4 linked regions of the Macaca mulatta genome follow. The protein of the gene in region 2 purifies or fractionates together with the protein of the main gene of each other region. This does not show direct contact. Links are inferred from orthologs where the notes say so. Each region holds a gene or a part of one and is shown on either strand. Other genes may lie near its edges.

Evidence for each region.
Region 1: the proteins of CEBPA (region 2) and MRTO4 purify together in Homo sapiens (affinity purification with mass spectrometry; 3 studies listed by BioGRID and IntAct, with this or other methods). This does not show direct contact. The link is inferred for Macaca mulatta from reciprocal best matches to the Homo sapiens genes CEBPA and MRTO4.
Region 3: the proteins of CEBPA (region 2) and HDAC1 purify together in Homo sapiens (affinity purification with western blotting; 3 studies listed by BioGRID, with this or other methods). This does not show direct contact. The link is inferred for Macaca mulatta from reciprocal best matches to the Homo sapiens genes CEBPA and HDAC1.
Region 4: the proteins of CEBPA (region 2) and CDK4 purify together in Homo sapiens (affinity purification with western blotting; 3 studies listed by BioGRID, with this or other methods). This does not show direct contact. The link is inferred for Macaca mulatta from reciprocal best matches to the Homo sapiens genes CEBPA and CDK4.

The regions. Positions count from the first base shown.
Region 1 is NC_133406.1:221,715,360-221,718,557, forward strand, and holds the end of MRTO4 (mRNA turnover protein 4 homolog), read right to left. Parts: intron 3,009-3,198; coding exon 2,927-3,008; intron 2,617-2,926; coding exon 2,549-2,616; intron 2,247-2,548; coding exon 2,095-2,246; intron 1,283-2,094; coding exon 1,206-1,282; intron 1,079-1,205; coding exon 929-1,078; 3' UTR 750-928; downstream 1-749. UniProt on the Homo sapiens protein: Component of the ribosome assembly machinery. Nuclear paralog of the ribosomal protein P0, it binds pre-60S subunits at an early stage of assembly in the nucleolus, and is replaced by P0 in cytoplasmic pre-60S subunits and mature 80S ribosomes.
Region 2 is NC_133424.1:44,601,527-44,606,046, reverse strand, and holds CEBPA (CCAAT/enhancer-binding protein alpha), read left to right. Parts: upstream 1-1,461; 5' UTR 1,462-1,581; coding exon 1,582-2,655; 3' UTR 2,656-4,056; downstream 4,057-4,520. UniProt on the Homo sapiens protein: Transcription factor that coordinates proliferation arrest and the differentiation of myeloid progenitors, adipocytes, hepatocytes, and cells of the lung and the placenta.
Region 3 is NC_133406.1:208,584,230-208,588,748, forward strand, and holds the start of HDAC1 (histone deacetylase 1), read right to left. Parts: upstream 3,180-4,519; 5' UTR 3,114-3,179; coding exon 3,065-3,113; intron 1-3,064. UniProt on the Homo sapiens protein: Histone deacetylase that catalyzes the deacetylation of lysine residues on the N-terminal part of the core histones (H2A, H2B, H3 and H4).
Region 4 is NC_133416.1:64,928,865-64,933,601, forward strand, and holds the start of CDK4 (cyclin-dependent kinase 4), read right to left. Parts: upstream 2,965-4,737; 5' UTR 2,809-2,964; intron 2,372-2,808; 5' UTR 2,353-2,371; coding exon 2,135-2,352; intron 1,980-2,134; coding exon 1,844-1,979; intron 1,725-1,843; coding exon 1,557-1,724; intron 1,400-1,556; coding exon 1,290-1,399; intron 123-1,289; coding exon 72-122; intron 1-71.

The sequences.
Region 1 (3,198 bases), on a different chromosome or scaffold from region 2:
AAAGGATTAAACATAAAATTACCATAGGATTCAGCAGTTCCACTTGTGGGTATATAGCCAAGAGAAGTGAAAACGTATCTCCCCACAAAAAACTTGGGAATGAGTTTTCACAGTGTCATTACTCATAATAGCTGATAATTAAAAACAACCCAAATGTCCATCAATGAATGAATGCATAAAGAAAATGTGGCATATTCATACAACAGACTATTATTCGGCCATTTAAAAAAAAAAAAAAAAAAAAAGAGTGGCTCACACCTTTAATCTCAGCACTTTGAGAGGCCAAGGCAGGAGGACTGATTGAAGACAGGAGTTCCAGACCAGTCTGGGCAACAGTAGTAGAGACAGGGTTTCACTGTGTTTCACTGTGTCAGGATGGTCTTAATCTCCTGACCTTATGGTCTGCCCGCCTCGGCCTCCCAAAGTGCTGGGATTACTGGCGTGAGCCACTGCACCTGGCCCAGAGCTTTTTTTTTTTTTTGAGACGGAATCTCGCTCTGTAGCCCAGGCTGGAGTGCAGAGGCTGGAGTGCAGTGGCCGGATCTCAGCTCACTGCAAGCTCCGCCTCCTGGGTTTAGGCCATTCTCCTGCCTCAGCCTCCAGAGTAGCTGGGACTACAGGTGCCCGCCACCTCGCCTGGCTAGTTTTTTGTATTTTTTAGTAGAGATGGGGTTTCACCGTGTTAGCCAGGATGGTCTCGGTCTCCTGACCTCGTGATCCACCTGTCTCGGCCTCCGAAAGTGCTGGGATTACAGGCTTGAGCCACTGCGCCCGGCCCAGAGTTTTATTCTTTATAGGAGGTCAGTGCCCATCACATTCCCTGTCTACAGACAAATAAACAGCTGCTCTCTTCAGAGGGGCGGCAGCAGTCCTGCATGGTCCAGTGAGACCCAGAAGGTTCCAGGAGGCCTTTAATTTTGAGTCCCTTTCAGTCATCGTCTTCTGAGTCTGACTCTTCTGCGGACTCGGATGCGCTCTCTGGCAAGTCATCTCCCATCTGCTGGAACCTTCCCGACTGTGAATCCCACATGTATTTGATGGTCACCTTGAATTCAGCCATCTCATACCCAAAAAGCTTCTGCAAGAGACAAAGGGAACAAAGAATCAGGAGGAATGGAGGTATTCAAAGTGCAGGGGGTCGTTTTCAGCAGGCAGAAGCCAGCCAGCGGCCCCTCCTGCAATAGCCCTCAAGGCGCCAGACTCACCAGGACGCGAGCCTGCTCTGGGGTCAGCACATCGCCCTCCTTGCACACCTCAAAGTCGGATAGCAGAGTCACTACACCTGCAGAAGAGGGTGGCTCTCAGTTACCTCTGGCCCAGAGGCCTGCAGAGCCCTCTCTGTCCCTGCCACGTTAGGAGGAATCCAGTCAGCCACCTGCCCTCCCCACAGCTCCATCACACACTGGGCAGTGGCTGTCTCCCTGAGGTCCCTTTGATTCGCCACAGCCTTGACCTCCTGGGTTCAAGTGATCCTCTTGCCTCAGCCTCCCATGTAGCTAGGACCACAGGCACACACCACCATGGCTGTCTAATTTTTTGACTTTTTTTTTTTTTTTTAAACCGGCACCAGGCCCCTGATGTCCCTGTCCCTCAACAGCTGCAAGACTATAAGTTACTGTCTGCTTTCACCCCAACTGTGAGGCGTGCACTCTTAGCCCCATTTTCTTTTTTTTTTTTTTTTTTGAGACGGAGTCTTGCTGTGTCTCCCAGGCTGGAGTGCAGTGGCGTGATCTCGGCTCACTGCAAGCTCCGCCTCCCGGGTTCATGCCATTCTCCCGCCTCAGCCTCCCAAGTAGCTGAGACTACAGGCGCCCGCCACCACGCCCGGCTAGTTTTTTGTATTTTTAGTAGAGACGGGGTTTCACCATGTTAGCCAGGATAGTCTCGATCTCCTGACCTCGTGATCCACCCGCCTCGGCCTCCCAAAGTGCTGGGATTACAGGCTTGAGCCACCGCGCCCGCCCCTTAGCCCCATTTTCACATGAGAAAATGGAGGCTTGTAGAAATAACTTGCTCAGCCAGAAAGGGATGAGCTTGCAGGCTTGTGCTCTTGGACTCTAGGCTGTGAGCTTTTGGCTCCAGGGCTGCCCATACCTCTCTTGAGGGTGGTGGGCAGGCCCAGCTGCCTGAGCTGTGGCTCCATGGAGTGGGGGAACTGCTCCAGGGGCCCCGGGTCCAGGCTCACAGTGAATGCTGCTTTGTTACCAGCGCGGGCGTAGTCCATTTCTGTGTATTTTGTGAACCACCTAAGGGAAAAAGAAGCGGTAGGAGGGGATGCTCCTGGCCACACCACCAGCCCATGAGTCAGGCTCCCCCAAGTGTCCCGTGGCCCTGGGCCTTTACAGACCTTGGCTGCTGGCCAGCAGTCAGCCCACCACACCATGCTGGAGAGGGCAGAGAGGGCTGTGGTCCCAGGTCACTAGCTCAGTGACAGGCTTCCAGGAGCAGTTCCGACTTGATGCCGCATATGGAATGAAGTCCCTGCATCATCCCCTCCCTAAAATCCCCCTCACCCGCCTCTTTCTCTCCGTTCCTCAGCAGTACTTACTCATTCACCTCCTCCTTTGTGCAGTTGGTGAACAGGAGACCCACTTCACCCCTCAACCTTTTGCTGACCTACAAATCAAGAGTGAGGCCAGCTTGGTCACATTAGAGCAGTGGTTCTCTACTAGGCACGTTTTTGCTCACCAGGGGACATTTGGCAACGTTTAAAGATGTTTCTGGTGGTCACAGCAGGAAGGAGTGGGAGGCAGGAAGGGTGCTATTCCCTGGGTCCGGAGGTGAAGGGAGAACCCAGAGCTTTAAGCCAGGCCCTGCTCTCCCTGAGCCACGGGCCAGCCGACGGCTAGGGGAGGCTATCACGTGGGAGTAGTGGGAGAGAAGGCGGCTCTGCCTCAGCCCCACCCCGTGAAAACCAGAGATTTACCTGGTGCAGGTTGTCTTTGTACTCATCAGATGGGCTTCGACCCAAGGCCACCATCATTACCTTGTTTTTGCCAAAGAACATCCTACCAAGCAAGAGAAAGAGCATTCTGTGAAGGAAGTGCCCTGCCCTCCCCGCCCCTTAGCAACATGCAAAGCAGCTCTGGTCCCCAGTGAGCTCAGGCCCAGGCTGAGCCAGTGGCACTCACTTCTCCATGCTGCCTGGCCACACTGTCCCCACTTCGGGGTCCTTTTCATTATGTTCCCACCCACAGA
Region 2 (4,520 bases):
TCCTGGGCGGGTCGTGGCGCCTTGCCAGGTCTTCAAGAAGGCCACAGGTCCTCCTACAGGTGAAGGGGGTCTTCCCTCACCTGGAGGCAAGCGCGCCTCTAGCCAGGACCCAGACTGCGTCAGGCCTCAGAGCCAGTGGCGAAAGGCGGCGCAGGCAGGGGCAGGAGACACTTGAGGGCCCCCAAGACCCCATCTGGGCCCAGCTGACAGTCCGCAGCCCCCACCCCGGCCGCGGTAAAGAATGCGAGGGACGCACGTGGCCGGGGGTCTCTGTAGCAAGCTCCTTCCCCCGCCGCGGTGAAAGCGTTAGCGTGCCACACTCAAGGGGCCCCAGGGCCCAGCCGCCTCGGTCCCCAGGATCCCGGGGATCACAGCGCCCAGCGAACTACCGGGCAGAGTTCTTCCTGTGGGTGCTCGGACCTGGCGGCCCCGGCGGCCTGGACACCCTCGCTCCGGCCGTTGGCGCCCACCTGAATGGGGGGTGGGGGGAGGAAGCGGTGGCTTCGGGCCTCGCGGACTGCGGCCCCCGCCTCGGGATCCCGGCCCCAGAGTCAAGTTTGTCTCCTCCCTCGGTGCGCCCCTCCCCATGGTCGCCCCGGCGTCCAGCTCGGCTATTCCCGGAGCCCGCCGGTCCCTCAGGAAAAAAAATCGGCGACTCCACGCTGGGTAACAACGCCTGTCCCGCGCGCCTAGCAAGTCGCGCGCTCCGGCCTGGAGAAGTAATTATAAAGAAAGTTTTCCAGCCCGGGCGGATCCACCGGCCAGGTCCTTCAGGCTCCCGGGCCGAGGCCGCCTCCGCTCCCCGCGGGGTCCTAGCGCCCCGCGCGGCGCCGCCCGTGGGATTCCACCGTCCTCCGAGAGGTGCCTCTGCGCGGAATCACAGGGGTAGCCTGGAGATCAGAGCTAGGAGACGCAGAGCCACCGCGCTCCGGGTCTCTCCGCGAGTCCCAAACGGCCCCCCACCGGCCCCTGCCCGCCCCGCCGCTCTGCGCCGCAGCCTCCCCGGGACGCGGGTCCCGGACAGGCCTGGTTCTGGCTTTGAAAGAGAGTCCGAGCCACAGCAGCTCAAGACCAAGACTCCCCTCCGCCACCCACCCCTACCCCATGCAGCCTCGGGATACTCCTGGGCTCCCAGCCGTGGCAGAATGTGGGTGCCTAGGGGAGGCGGGAGGAGGGGGCCCCCGCCACCAACCACGAGGGCGCAGGGGCGACAGCTGGGCCGGGGGCGGAGCTTGGAGCGAGCGCCGCGGCTCTGCTGGTCGCGCAGGAGGCGGTGGGCGTTGCGCCGCGGCCTGCCTGAGGAGCGCAGCGCTGGGCCCCGCTTGTTCGCCGCTCCATCCCGGCCGCGCGCTAGGACCCAGCGGGCGCCGCGCCGCCGCCGCCCGGGGACAGAGGCCGCCTCGGACTCTAGGGGGCGACGCGGCCGCGGGGTATAAAAGCTGGGCCGGCGCGGGCCGGGCCATTCGCGACCCGGAGCTGCGCGGGCGCGGGCGAGTCGGGTCTCCGGGTGGGCGGCGGCGACGCCCCGCGCAGGCTGGAGGCCGCCGAGGCTCGCCATGCCGGGAGAACTCTAGCTCCCCCATGGAGTCGGCCGACTTCTACGAGGCGGAGCCGCGGCCCCCGATGAGCAGCCACCTGCAGAGTCCCCCGCACGCGCCCAGCAGCGCCGCCTTCGGCTTTCCCCGCGGCGCGGGCCCCGCGCAGCCTCCCGCCCCACCTGCCGCCCCGGAGCCGCTGGGCGGCATCTGCGAGCACGAGACGTCCATCGACATCAGCGCCTACATCGACCCGGCCGCCTTCAACGACGAGTTCCTGGCCGACCTGTTCCAGCACAGCCGGCAGCAGGAGAAGGCCAAGGCGGCCGCGGGCCCCGCGGGCGGCGGCGGCGGCGGCGGCGACTTTGACTACCCGGGCGCGCCCGCGGGCCCCGGGGGCGCCGTCATGCCCGGGGGAGCGCACGGGCCCCCGCCCGGCTACGGCTGCGCGGCCGCCGGCTACCTGGACGGCAGGCTGGAGCCCCTGTACGAGCGCGTCGGGGCGCCGGCGCTGCGGCCGCTGGTGATCAAGCAGGAGCCCCGCGAGGAGGATGAAGCCAAGCAGCTGGCGCTGGCCGGCCTCTTCCCTTACCAGCCGCCGCCGCCGCCGCCGCCCTCACACCCGCACCCGCCGCCAGCGCACCTGGCCGCCCCGCACCTGCAGTTCCAGATAGCGCACTGCGGCCAGACCACCATGCACCTGCAGCCCGGTCACCCTACGCCGCCACCCACGCCCGTGCCCAGCCCGCACCCCGCGCCCGCGCTCGGCGCCGCCGGCCTGCCGGGCCCCGGCGGCGCGCTCAAGGGGCTGGGCGCCGCGCACCCCGACCTCCGCGCGAGTGGCGGCGGCGGCACGGGCAAGGCCAAGAAGTCGGTGGACAAGAACAGCAACGAGTACCGGGTGCGGCGCGAGCGCAACAACATCGCGGTGCGCAAGAGCCGCGACAAGGCCAAGCAGCGCAACGTGGAGACGCAGCAGAAGGTGCTGGAGCTGACCAGTGACAATGACCGCCTGCGCAAGCGGGTGGAACAGCTGAGCCGCGAACTGGACACGCTGCGGGGCATCTTCCGCCAGCTGCCAGAGAGCTCCTTGGTCAAGGCCATGGGCAACTGCGCGTGAGGCGCGCGGCTGAGGGACCGCCCTGGGCCAGCCTCCGGCGGGGACCCAGGGGTGGTTTGGGGTCGCCGGATCTCGAGGCTTGCCCGAGCCATGCGAGCCAGGACTAGGAGATTCCGGTGCCTCCCGAAAGCCTGGCCTGCTCCGCGTGTCCCCTCCCTTCTTCTGCGCCGGACTTGGTGCGTCTGAGATGAGGGGGCCAGGCGGTGACTTCTCCCTGCAAGGAGGGGAGAATTCTTGGGGCTGAGCTGGGAGCCCGGCAACTTTAGTATTAAGGATAACCTTGTGCCTTGGAAATGCAAACTCACCGCTCCGATGCCTACCGAGTAGGGGGAGCAAATCGTGCCTTGTCATTTTATTTGGAGGTTTCCTGCCTCCTTCCCGAGGCTGCAGCAGGCCCCCATGAGAGGAGGAGGGGAGCAGGCCCGTGGCAGGAGGAGGGCTCAGGGAGCTGAGATCCCGACAAGCCAACCGGCCCCAGCCGCTCCTCCGCGCCTGTCCTTAGAAATGGGGGGAAACATAGGGACTTGGGGCTTGAAACCTAAGGTTGTTCCCCTAGTTCTACATGAAGGTGGAGGGTCTAGTTCCACGCCTCTCCCACCTCCCTCCGCACACACCCCACCCCAGCCTGCTATAGGCTGGGCTTTCCCTTGGGGCGGAACTCACTGAGATGGGAGTCACCAGGTGACCAGTGGGAGCCCCCACCACGAGTTAGACCAGAAAGCTAGGTCGTGAGTCAGCTCTGAGGATGTATACCCCTGGTGGGAGATGGAGACCTAGAGATCTGGCCGTGGGCGGGCTTGGGGGGTGAAGGGCCACTGGGACCCTCAGCCTTGTTTGTACTGTATGCCTTCAGCATTGCCTAGGAACACGAAGCACGATCAGTCCATCCCAGAGGGACCGGAGTTATGACAAGCTTTCCAAATATTTTGCTTTATCAGCCGATATCAACACTTGTATCTGGCCTCTGTGCCCCAGCAGTGCCTTGTGCAATGTGAATGTGCGCGTCTCTGCTAAACCACCATTTTATTTGGTTTTTGTTTTGTTTTGGTTTTGCTCGGATACTTGCCAAAATGAGACTCTCCATCGGCAGCTGGGGGAAGGGTCTGAGACTCTCTTTCCTTTTGGTTTTGGGATTACTTTTGATCCTGGGGGACCAATGAGGTGAGGGGAGTTCTCCTTTGCCCTCAGCTTTCCCCGGCCCCTCCGGCCTGGGCTGCCCACAAGGCTTGTCCCCCAGAGGCCCTGGCTCCTGGTCGGGAAGGGAGGTGGCCTCTCGCCAACACATCACTGGGGCTGGGAGCAGGGAAAGACGGCTTGGTTCTCTTCTTTTGGGGAGAACGTAGAGTCTCACCGTAGATGTTTTATGTATTATATCTATAATATAAACATATCGAAAGTCAATGTCCGTGTCTTTTTAAAACCAGAAAGAAGCTACTTCCAAGGTTGTCTGTGGGCCAGGCCACATTTGTAAATAATACAGCATTTTCCCTGGCGGCAATCCTGACTTTCATGAGCTCTCCATCCACCCCCAGCCCCTCTTTACCCTAAGGGGGTGACTTACTTCCCCCAGGCAACACAAATAAATAGCAGAGGACAAGGCTCCAAACGGAGAGTGTCCAGAGCCTGAAGGCAGTCTTGGGGTCAGGAGAGGGGGCCTTCGAAGAGGTTAGGGGGCTGAGGCTTTGGCAAGGTCTTATCTGCCCCTGGGAGGAGGAGAGGGAGTCCTCTGCATGAGGGGCAGGCCCGGCTCAGCAGGCCTAGGCTCAAGGAGCCCTTTGTCCAGACTTCCTTCCAAATCACCTACAGCTCCAGCCCCGGCAGCCTCACTCACACCCACCGCAGCTCCAGCTTCCACCAGGATCCTC
Region 3 (4,519 bases), on a different chromosome or scaffold from region 2:
ATTTCTAAACAAACAACAACAACAAAAAACAGTGGCTTATGCCTGTAATCCCAGCACTCTGGGAGGCTGAGGTGGCAGGATTGCTTGAGGCCAGGCCCAGGAGTTCAAGACAAGCCTGGGCAATATATTGAGACCCCGTCTCTATAAGTTAAAAAAAAAAAAAAGTTATCAACTGACATGGCATTCTCCAAACCTCCAAACACTCACCATCAAATTGCCCACACCAGAGGCCAGGAAGTGTGGCTCACGCCTGTAATCCTAGCACTTTAGGAGGCTGAGGCAGACAGATCACTGGAGGTCAGTTTGAGACGAGCCTGGCCAACATGGTGAAACCCCATCTCTAATAAAAATACAAAAATTAGCCAAGCATGGTGGCGTACGCCTGTAATCCTGGCTACTCAGGAGGCTGAGGCAGGAGAATCCCTTGAATCTAGGAGATGGACGTTGCAGTTGCAGTGAGCCAAGATCATGCCACTGCACTCCAGCCTGGGTGACAGAGCTAGACACTGTCTCTCTCTCTCTATATATATATGTATTGCCCACACCAGGAACTTGGGATCCATGCCTTCTTCCTTACCCCTAAAATCTGAATTTCTTTTTTTGTTCGTTTTTGTTTTTTTGAGACCAAGTCTCTATCTTTTGCTCAGGATGGAGTGCAGTGGTGAGAACTCAGCTCACTGCAACCTCCGCCTCCCAGTTTCAAACAATTCTTATGCCTCAGCCTCCTGAGTAGCTGGGACTACAGGCATGTGCCACCACACCTGGCTAATTTTTTTATTTTTTTGAGATCGAGTCTCACCCTGTTGCCCAGGCTAGAGTGCGGTGGCGCAATCTTGGCTCACTGCAACCTCTGCCTCCCAGGTTCAAGTGATTCTCCTGCCTCAGCCTCCTGAGTAGCTGGGATTACAGGTGCGTGCCACTACGCCCAGGTAATTTTTGTATTTTTAGTAGAGACGGGGTTTCACCACGTTGGCCAGGCTGGTCTTGAACTCCTGGCCTCGAGTGATCTCCTGCCTCGGCCTCCCAAAGTACTGGGATTACAGGCGTGAGCCACTGCACCTGGACCCCATGACTTTAATTTCTTTCTCTTTTTTTTTTTTTTGAGACGGAGTCTCCCTCTGTCGCCCAGGATAGAGTGCAGTGGCATGATCTCCGCTCACTGCAAGCTCCACCTCCCGCATCCACACCATTCTCCTGCCTCAGCCTCCCAAGTAGCTGGGATTATAGGCGCCCGCCACCACGCTCGGCTAATTTTTTTGTATTTTTAGTAGAGACGGGGTTTCACAAGTTAGCCAGGATGGTCTCGATCTCCTGACTTCGTGATCTGCCCTCCTCAGCCTCCCAAAGTGCTGGGAGTACAGGTGTGAGCCACCGTGCCCAGCCCATGACTTTAATTTCTAAGGTATAAACCTGATGATGTCACTAACCTGCATAAAACTTGAATCATTCACAAGTGCCCTCAATAAAGTCCAACTTCCTTGGGACAGCATGCCCAGCCCTTCATGGTCTGGTCCCTGTTTACATTTTTTTTTTTTTAAGACATAGCCTCACTCCGTTGTCCAAGCTGGAGTGCAGTGGTATGATCTTGGCTCACTGCAACCTCCACCTCCCGGGTTCTAAGGGATTCTCCTGCCTCAGGCTCCAGAGTAGCTGGGATTACAGGTGCGCGACACCATGCCCGGCTAATTTTGTATTTTTAGTAGAGACGGGGTTTCGCCATGTTGGCCAGGCTGGTCTCGAACTCCTGACCTCAGATGATCCACCAGCCTTGGCCTCCCAAAGTGCTGGGATTACAGGTGTGAGCCACCTCACCTGGTCGGTCTCCATTTACTTCAGCAACCACATTATTTGCAACACTTCCCTCGCCCCGGGTCCCCACCTTCTACAATAGGCCCCCAAATCTATGTCTCAGCCATACTGTTACAAATGCCTGCTTTTCTTTCTTCCCTTTTTTTTTTTTTTGAGACAGAGTCTTGCTCTGTCACCCAGGCTGGAATCCAGTGGCCTGATCTCATCTCACTGCAACCTCCACCTCCCAAGTTCAAGGGATTCTCCTGCCTCAGCCTCCCAAGTAGCTGGAATTACAGGCGCGCGCCACCACGCCCAGCTACTTTTTATATTTTTGTAGAGACAGGGTTTTGCCATGTTGGCCAGGCTGGTCTCGAACTCCTGACCTCAAGTGATCCGCCTGCCCTGGCCTCCCAAAGCGCTCGGATTACAGGCGTGAGCCACCGCGCCCGGTCAAATGCCTGTTTTTCAAAGGTGCTGTCCTCTCTCTTGCCTCTGAAACTTGCTGTTATCTTTGCCTTCCCTTTGCCTGGCTAAGAACTCCTGTTCTTCAGGTCCTGAGACGTCCCCTCCTTCGCTGACTCCTCAGGTGGAGTTCGGTGCCTATTCTCTGTGCTCCTCTAACACTCTGAGCTCTGACACGGAGAGAACTTCGGTCACTGGGACCCGATCATTCCCACCGCCCCAGCCCCTCAACACTTCCTCGAACACAGTAACCTGCTTGAGAGATTAAGTGAGAAGCCTGTTTTAACAGGTTGCATCCTTCTCCTTGCAACCCCTGGCGCCCCACGTCGCAGTAGCAACCGCAGGCCCCGCTCAGAGGCTGGGGGAGGGGAGGCGGGCGACCAGTCGTGCAGGGCTCTTCTCCCAGAAAAGATGAGGAAGAGACGGGGCAGGGAAGAGCTTTGGGTTCTCGGCAAGAAAATGTATCCTTGCAGCCGTCTCCATCAGATTCAGCCTCCCTCCTCGGACGCACCCTCCCCTCTAGGAGTCCCACTCAAACTCTCCACATCAAACTCTCCACATCAGACTTCCTCAGAATCTTCCCACCAAGATTACCTCAGGGTTCCCCCACGCGATCCCCTCGATCTCAGCCTCGATCTCCTTTCCTCACAGCCTCCTCCCTCAGCCTCGACTTCCCCCTCGCAGCCTCCTCTCCGAGCCTCTCCCCAGCGCCTCAGCCTCCCGCAGCCTCCCATCGGCGCTCCAGCCTCAGCCTCCAGGTCCCCGGTTCGGCCCGGCCCGGCCCCGCCCCCGCCGCGAGGACAGTGCTCACCGTCGTAGTAGTAACAGACTTTCCTCCGGGTGCCCTGCGTCTGCGCCATCTTGCTCGCCTCCCGTCCCTACCGTCAGTCGGTCCGTCCGCCCTCCCGCCCGCGGCTCAGCTCAGCGTCCGACCCAGGGGGGAGGGGGCGGGTCTCCGGCCCGCCCCGCCCGTCCCCTCCTGAGCTCACCTATAGCCGCGCAGCCCGGGCACCGCTCCAGCCAATCAGCTTGCGCAGACACGGGCCCGGAACTCGGCAGGGGGCAAGGGCAGCCCGGAGAGGCCGCCGAGGGCCCCCTGGGCCTGTACCAAGGTCTGCGACAGATGGGTGGGGAGCCGCCCGGGGACCGTACCATCAGTCCCGGGGGAGGAAAGCAGCTCCGTAAACTTAACAGTCCCACTTGGTCGTGAAAAGCGTGCTTGGAGATCGGAGGCCAACTTTCTGATTTTACGGAGAATAAACCGAGGCCTACAGGGGAAAAGTGACTTGCACAAGGTCACTCAGCCAATAAAAGGGCTGAACCTGGGTTAGAAAGCGAGTTTGTGATCGCAAAGGAGGGCTACAGAAAAATAATTAAATTAAAAAGAAAAGCAACACGCTGGTTTTGAGAGGAAGAAACTGACAAGAAAGGGAAAGAAAGCTGTTTGTCGAGGGGCTGCTGTGTGCCAAGTACTGTGCGACAGTTTACCAATGTTATTTCAGTTTTTCCTCAAAACACCTCTCGGCCAAGGGCTTTTTACCTCCATTTTACAGGACAGGATAAAGAAGTTCAGATTTCTGTGAATTACTCAAAGTTACACAAAGTAATTAAATTCAATTTTTCAACTGTACAGGGTTTTTTGAATGCCTTCTTTGCACCAGAGGCACTGTAACAAAGTGACAGAACCCAGCCTTTCTGACTCCAAAACCTACCTCCCTGAAGCAGTCACCCAGGATGACTTAAGTAGGAGTCTCTTTAGACAGGAAGAAATGGGATTATCCTATGATAGGAGAGCAGATTTTCCTTTCCTTTCCTTTCCTTTCCTTTCCTTTTTCCTTTCCTTTTTCCTTCCCTTCTCTTCCCCTCCCTTCCCCTCCCCTCCTCTCCCCTCCCCTCCCTTCCCTTCCCTTCCCTGAGGACAGTTCCGCTTTAGTTGCCCTGGCTGGAGTACAATGGTGTGATCTGTGCTGTGTGATCTCGGCTCACCGCAATCTCTGCGTCTGGGTTCAAGCGGTTCTCCTGCCTCAGCCTCCCGAGTAGCTGGCCTTACAGGCATGCGCCACCACGCCCGGCTAACTTTGTATTTTTAGTAGAGACGAGGTTTCTCCATGTTGGTCAAGGTGGTCTCCGACTCCTGAGCTCAGGATCCGCCCGCCTCGGCCTCCCAATGTTACAGGCATGAGCCATGGTGCCTGGCCTAGAAGAGCAGGTTTCTCAGCTTGGAAGCTAATGACATTTTGGGCCAGGTAATTCTTTTTTGTAGGAA
Region 4 (4,737 bases), on a different chromosome or scaffold from region 2:
GTTGCCATCCTGGGCTTAGCAGAAAGAGGACTGAGAATAGAAAATCTTTTTCTCCCACGTTGGTCACTTACTCAAAGATTTTGCCCAACTGGTCAGCTTCAGAGTTTCCACAGAAGAGAGGCCTAAGGTGAGAAGGGACATAAGGTAGCAGTCATTTTCAAAGATATCTTAGTTGAATGGTTACTGCTTAGTGGCCCAAAATAGAAAGCACAGGGAATAAAGGTCGATAATTCCAGCACTTTGGGATGCTAAGGTGAGAGGACTGCTTGAGCCCAGGAGTTCCAGATCAGCCTGGGCAAGCAAGACCTTGTCTCTTAAAAAAAAAAAAAAAAAAAAAAAAAAAATTGCTGGGCACAGTGGCTCACGCCTGTAATCCCAGCACGTTAGGAGGCTGAGGCAGGTGGATCATGAGGTCAAGAGATTGAGACCATCCTGGCCAACATGGTGAAACCCCGTCTCTACTAAAAATACAAAAATTAGCTGGACGTGGTGGCACGCACCTGTAGTCCCAGCTACTTGGGAGGCTGAGTCAGGAGAATCACTTGAACCTGGGAGGCGGAGGTTGCAGTGAGCTGAGATCGCACCACTGCACTCCAGCCTGGCGACAAGGCGAGACTCCGTCTCAAAAAAAAAAAAAAAGCCAGTCATGGTGGCATGCACCTATAGTTTCTGCTACTCAGGAGGCTGAGATGGGAGAATTGCTTGAGCCCAGGAGATAGAGGCTACAGTGAGCTGTAATTGGGCCATTGCACTCCAGCCTGGGTGACAGAGTGAAACCTTATTGCAAAAATAAATAAATAAATAAAAGAGAATAAAGGGATATGAAGTTCCTAATTCTAGAGCATTTCAGAGCTTTCTGCTATGGGCAAAGTAGTCAGTAGTATGCAAGTAAAAGAATGGGGCCAGGTCCAGTAGTTCACGCTTGTAATCCCAGCACTTTGGGAGATAGCGGTGGGAGGACTGCTTGAGTACAAGAGTTCAAGACCAGCCTGGGCAATATACTGAGACCCCCCCTCTCTACAGAAATATTAAAAAACTAGCTGGGCATGGAGTGTCAGCTACTTGGGAGGCTGAGATGGGAGGATCACTTGAGCCCAGGAGGTTGACACTGCAGTGAGCTGTGATCATGCCATTGCAATCCAGCCTGAGCAACAAAGCAAGCCCTGGTCTCAAAAAAAAAAAAAAAAAAAAAAAAAAGAGAAAAAGAAAGAATGGGCAGGGTGTGGACGTGGTTTATGAACAAGCAATTTGGGGAATTCAAGGTGGTCCAGGGTATGTGGGTCCCATACTTTCGACGAAACATCTCTGCAAAGATACAGCCAACACTCCACATGTCCACAGGTGTTGCATATGTGGACTGCAGAAGAACTTCGGGAGCTCGGTACCAGAGTGTAACAACCTAAAGAGAATAGGAAGAATGGATGGGGACTCCATGGGTTACCACAAAACACAACTTGCTTGACTGAACACACGAAGCACATGACTTCTCAATTGCTACAGGCAATCACTCTCCTACTCCCAACCAGAACCCATTTTGGTACCATCTTTCTACTGACCACGGGTGTAAGTGCCATCTGGTAGCTGTAGATTCTGGCCAGGCCAAAGTCAGCCAGCTTGACTGTTCCACCACTTGTCACCAGAATGTTCTCTGGCTTCAGATCTCGGTGAACGATGCAATTTGCATGAAGGAAATCTAGGCCTCTTAGAAACTGGCGCATCAAATCCTAGTTTAGAAGGGGGAGGTACAGATGCACTGGAAACTAGGCACACCATACCTGAAATCCCAGGAGGTTTTACTACAAAGGTCCCAATCCACCTCTCAATGCCTACCAACCCCACTCACCTTGATGGTCTCGGCTGGCAAGCCTGGTGGGGGTGCTTTGTCCAGATACGTCCTTAGGTCTTGGTCTACATGCTCAAACACCAGGGTTACCTTGATCTCCCGGTCAGTTCGGGATGTGGCACAGACGTCCATCAGCCTGGCCAGAGTAAATGCTCACTTTTCAATCCCCTTTAACCCAACATGGCCTCTCATTATTTCCTCAGGGTCCCCACTTCTCTACAGATCACCACACCCCACCTATAGGCTGTCTTTTCCCTTTACTCCCCACTCCCCTCGTCACCACCTTCTCACCGGACTACATTGGGATGTTCAAAAGCCTCCAGTCGCCTCAGTAAGGCCACCTCCCGAACTGTGCTGATGGGAAGGCCTCCTCCAGCTCCTCCTCCATTGGGGACTCTCACACTCTTGAGGGCCACAAAGTGGCCACTGTGGGGATCACGGGCCTTGTACACTGTCCCATAGGCACCGACACCAATTTCAGCCACTGGCTCATATCGAGAGGTAGCCATTCTCAGATCAAGGGCGACCCTACAATCACAGACTCCTATCACCAAAAGTCCCTTACAGAATTAGCATGGTATGAGCCTGCAGCAACAAAAGGACTCCCAAAAAAAAGCACAAAGAGCAACACTAGCATCCCATCCCCCGCTCGCAGCCTTCCTTGGGGCCGGCCCCAGAGATAACACAATGACTCAATACCAACCCCTCCAGCCACGTGAGGCCCTGCAATAAAAAACGCATTTTCCTTTGGGACAATCGCGCCCTGCACAAAGATCACACATGACACATGCCTTGCATCAAAGATCCTACACCTCAGTCCCTAAAATTATACTTTCCCATGACCACAAAGGCCCCACTTCCCGCCCTTGAGCGACCCCTCCATAACCAGCTCGAGAAACGAACGCGTGGAAAACTGTGAGGGGGGCGGGCACTGGTTCTCATTCCCGGGAAGGGACTGCACTTACCTCACGCCAGGCCGGGGTGCTGCGGGGGCGGCCCGTTATCGGGGCCCCGGAGCTGGTTCCTACGGCCCCATACACCCAAGCTCGGTCCGGGGCAGCTGGACGCAGAGGGCCCGACCATAGACACAGGCCGCAAGCTAGAGAGGCCCCCTCACCCCCACCCTCACCATGTGACCAGCTGCCAAAGAGGCGCGCGGAAACTGGGAGGGCGGGGCGAACGCCGGACGTTCTGGGCACGTGACTGCCACCCATGCGCGGAGGGGTGGCCAGGAGCCGCTTTGACGGGGAGGAGGGCGAAGAGTGTAAGGGGGCGGAGGGGCGATGGTAGCCACGTGATCTGTTGCTATCACACGTGACCGCTTGACATTGCTCTGAGGAGCAGAGGTGTGGTTACGCGGCGGGCACATGACTGGCTGCCACAACCCCCGCCGCGGGGGGGCGCGGTAAGGGGACAAGAGAGGGTGGAGCCCGAGGCGGTGCCATGGCAACCTAGGCCACCCAGAGCCCAACTCCCGGCTGAAGGATTGTCTCACTACCGGTCTGAAGGCTGAACTCCAGTCTCACTACCGGTCTTTCAGCCTGTCTACATTGGGGAGGGAATGGGAGTTGGGGTACCAGAGGTGATGCTGTCACCTTTTCGCTCCACCATGATAAAACATACTCTCATTTGTGTCATTGATTCATTCATTAATTCTACAACATTTTACTGAGTGCTTGCTTCCAGTGTGTATGTGGGTTTTTATTTTGTTTTGTTTCTGGTGTCTGTCACTGGCCCTTTAAAGTAGTGGTACGACTATCTAGAAAGATGTAGCCAACAATGGGGTCTTCTAAAATAGGGAGTAAACAATGCCCATTTGAGGGCAAAACTACGATTAAAGGACGGACAGAAGGCAGATTAATACAGTAATCCAACAGGTTCAGTGACAAGGTAATGCCCCCTCTTTTCTCAACTTCCAAATCTCCCTGGGAGTGTTAATGCAAAGACCTGAGGCCATCTGGCAGAGAAGTTATTAATGAGCAGGAGACAGGAATACTTGACCTTTAAGTTTTTTTTTTCCCCAGTAGGACGGTTCTATGATTATGTGATATTTTTATATGTGTATATATACTTCTATGTATATATGTATGTATATATTATTTATTACATGTAATATATAAGATGGATACAGGAGTGTACATGTGCAAGAAAGTTACCACCACACCCCCTGCACCCTCCAGACCACCACAATGAATGAAAATGACATGTCTCCTTCTGTAAACCTTGTGACTGCTCATTTGGAGTCATTGTGCTTCCCTCTTTTTCCCTAGTGCCTCTTTCTTAGCACTTAGCGGTGTCCAGAACACACTTTTTCCCAAATGGCCTCTGCCCACAGACACCGAGGTAGACGTAGGTAGATTTCTCCTACTTTCTTTGTTTTATTGGCTCCAAGGTCTTCATGTCCTAGCCCTTTGAGGGTATGGGAGTAAAGGAGGAAAGCGGTTAGTGTCTCATTTGTGAGAATTTGTGTAAAATCTAAAGCCATTTTATTACCCTATTTGCCACTCCTTCCACTCTAACTTGTTTTCCTTAACCATCTGGCTGAGAATATAAGAGTTCAAACTAGAAGATGAATATAAACCGTGATTTAGAGCAAAATGGAATACATGTTAATACAGATGCCCCCTCTTTCCATCCTGATACTTGTAGTCCTGGGCCCCTCCTGGCAAGGGCAGCTGAAACACTAGTAAGAAAAATCTCAAGGACTGAACTGACTAAGGGGCTCAAGAGGTGAATGTTTTATTGGCTACCTTGCTAGGGGTGGGTGCTTTGTAAGCCTTCTGGAGGTGAAGATAAGTGTCTAAGTTTTTCAAACTCCCTTCCCACACCAGCATTCCCCACTTCAGCCTCACCTTCCACATAAGCCCTTCGCACCTTACTCTCTTTACAACAGA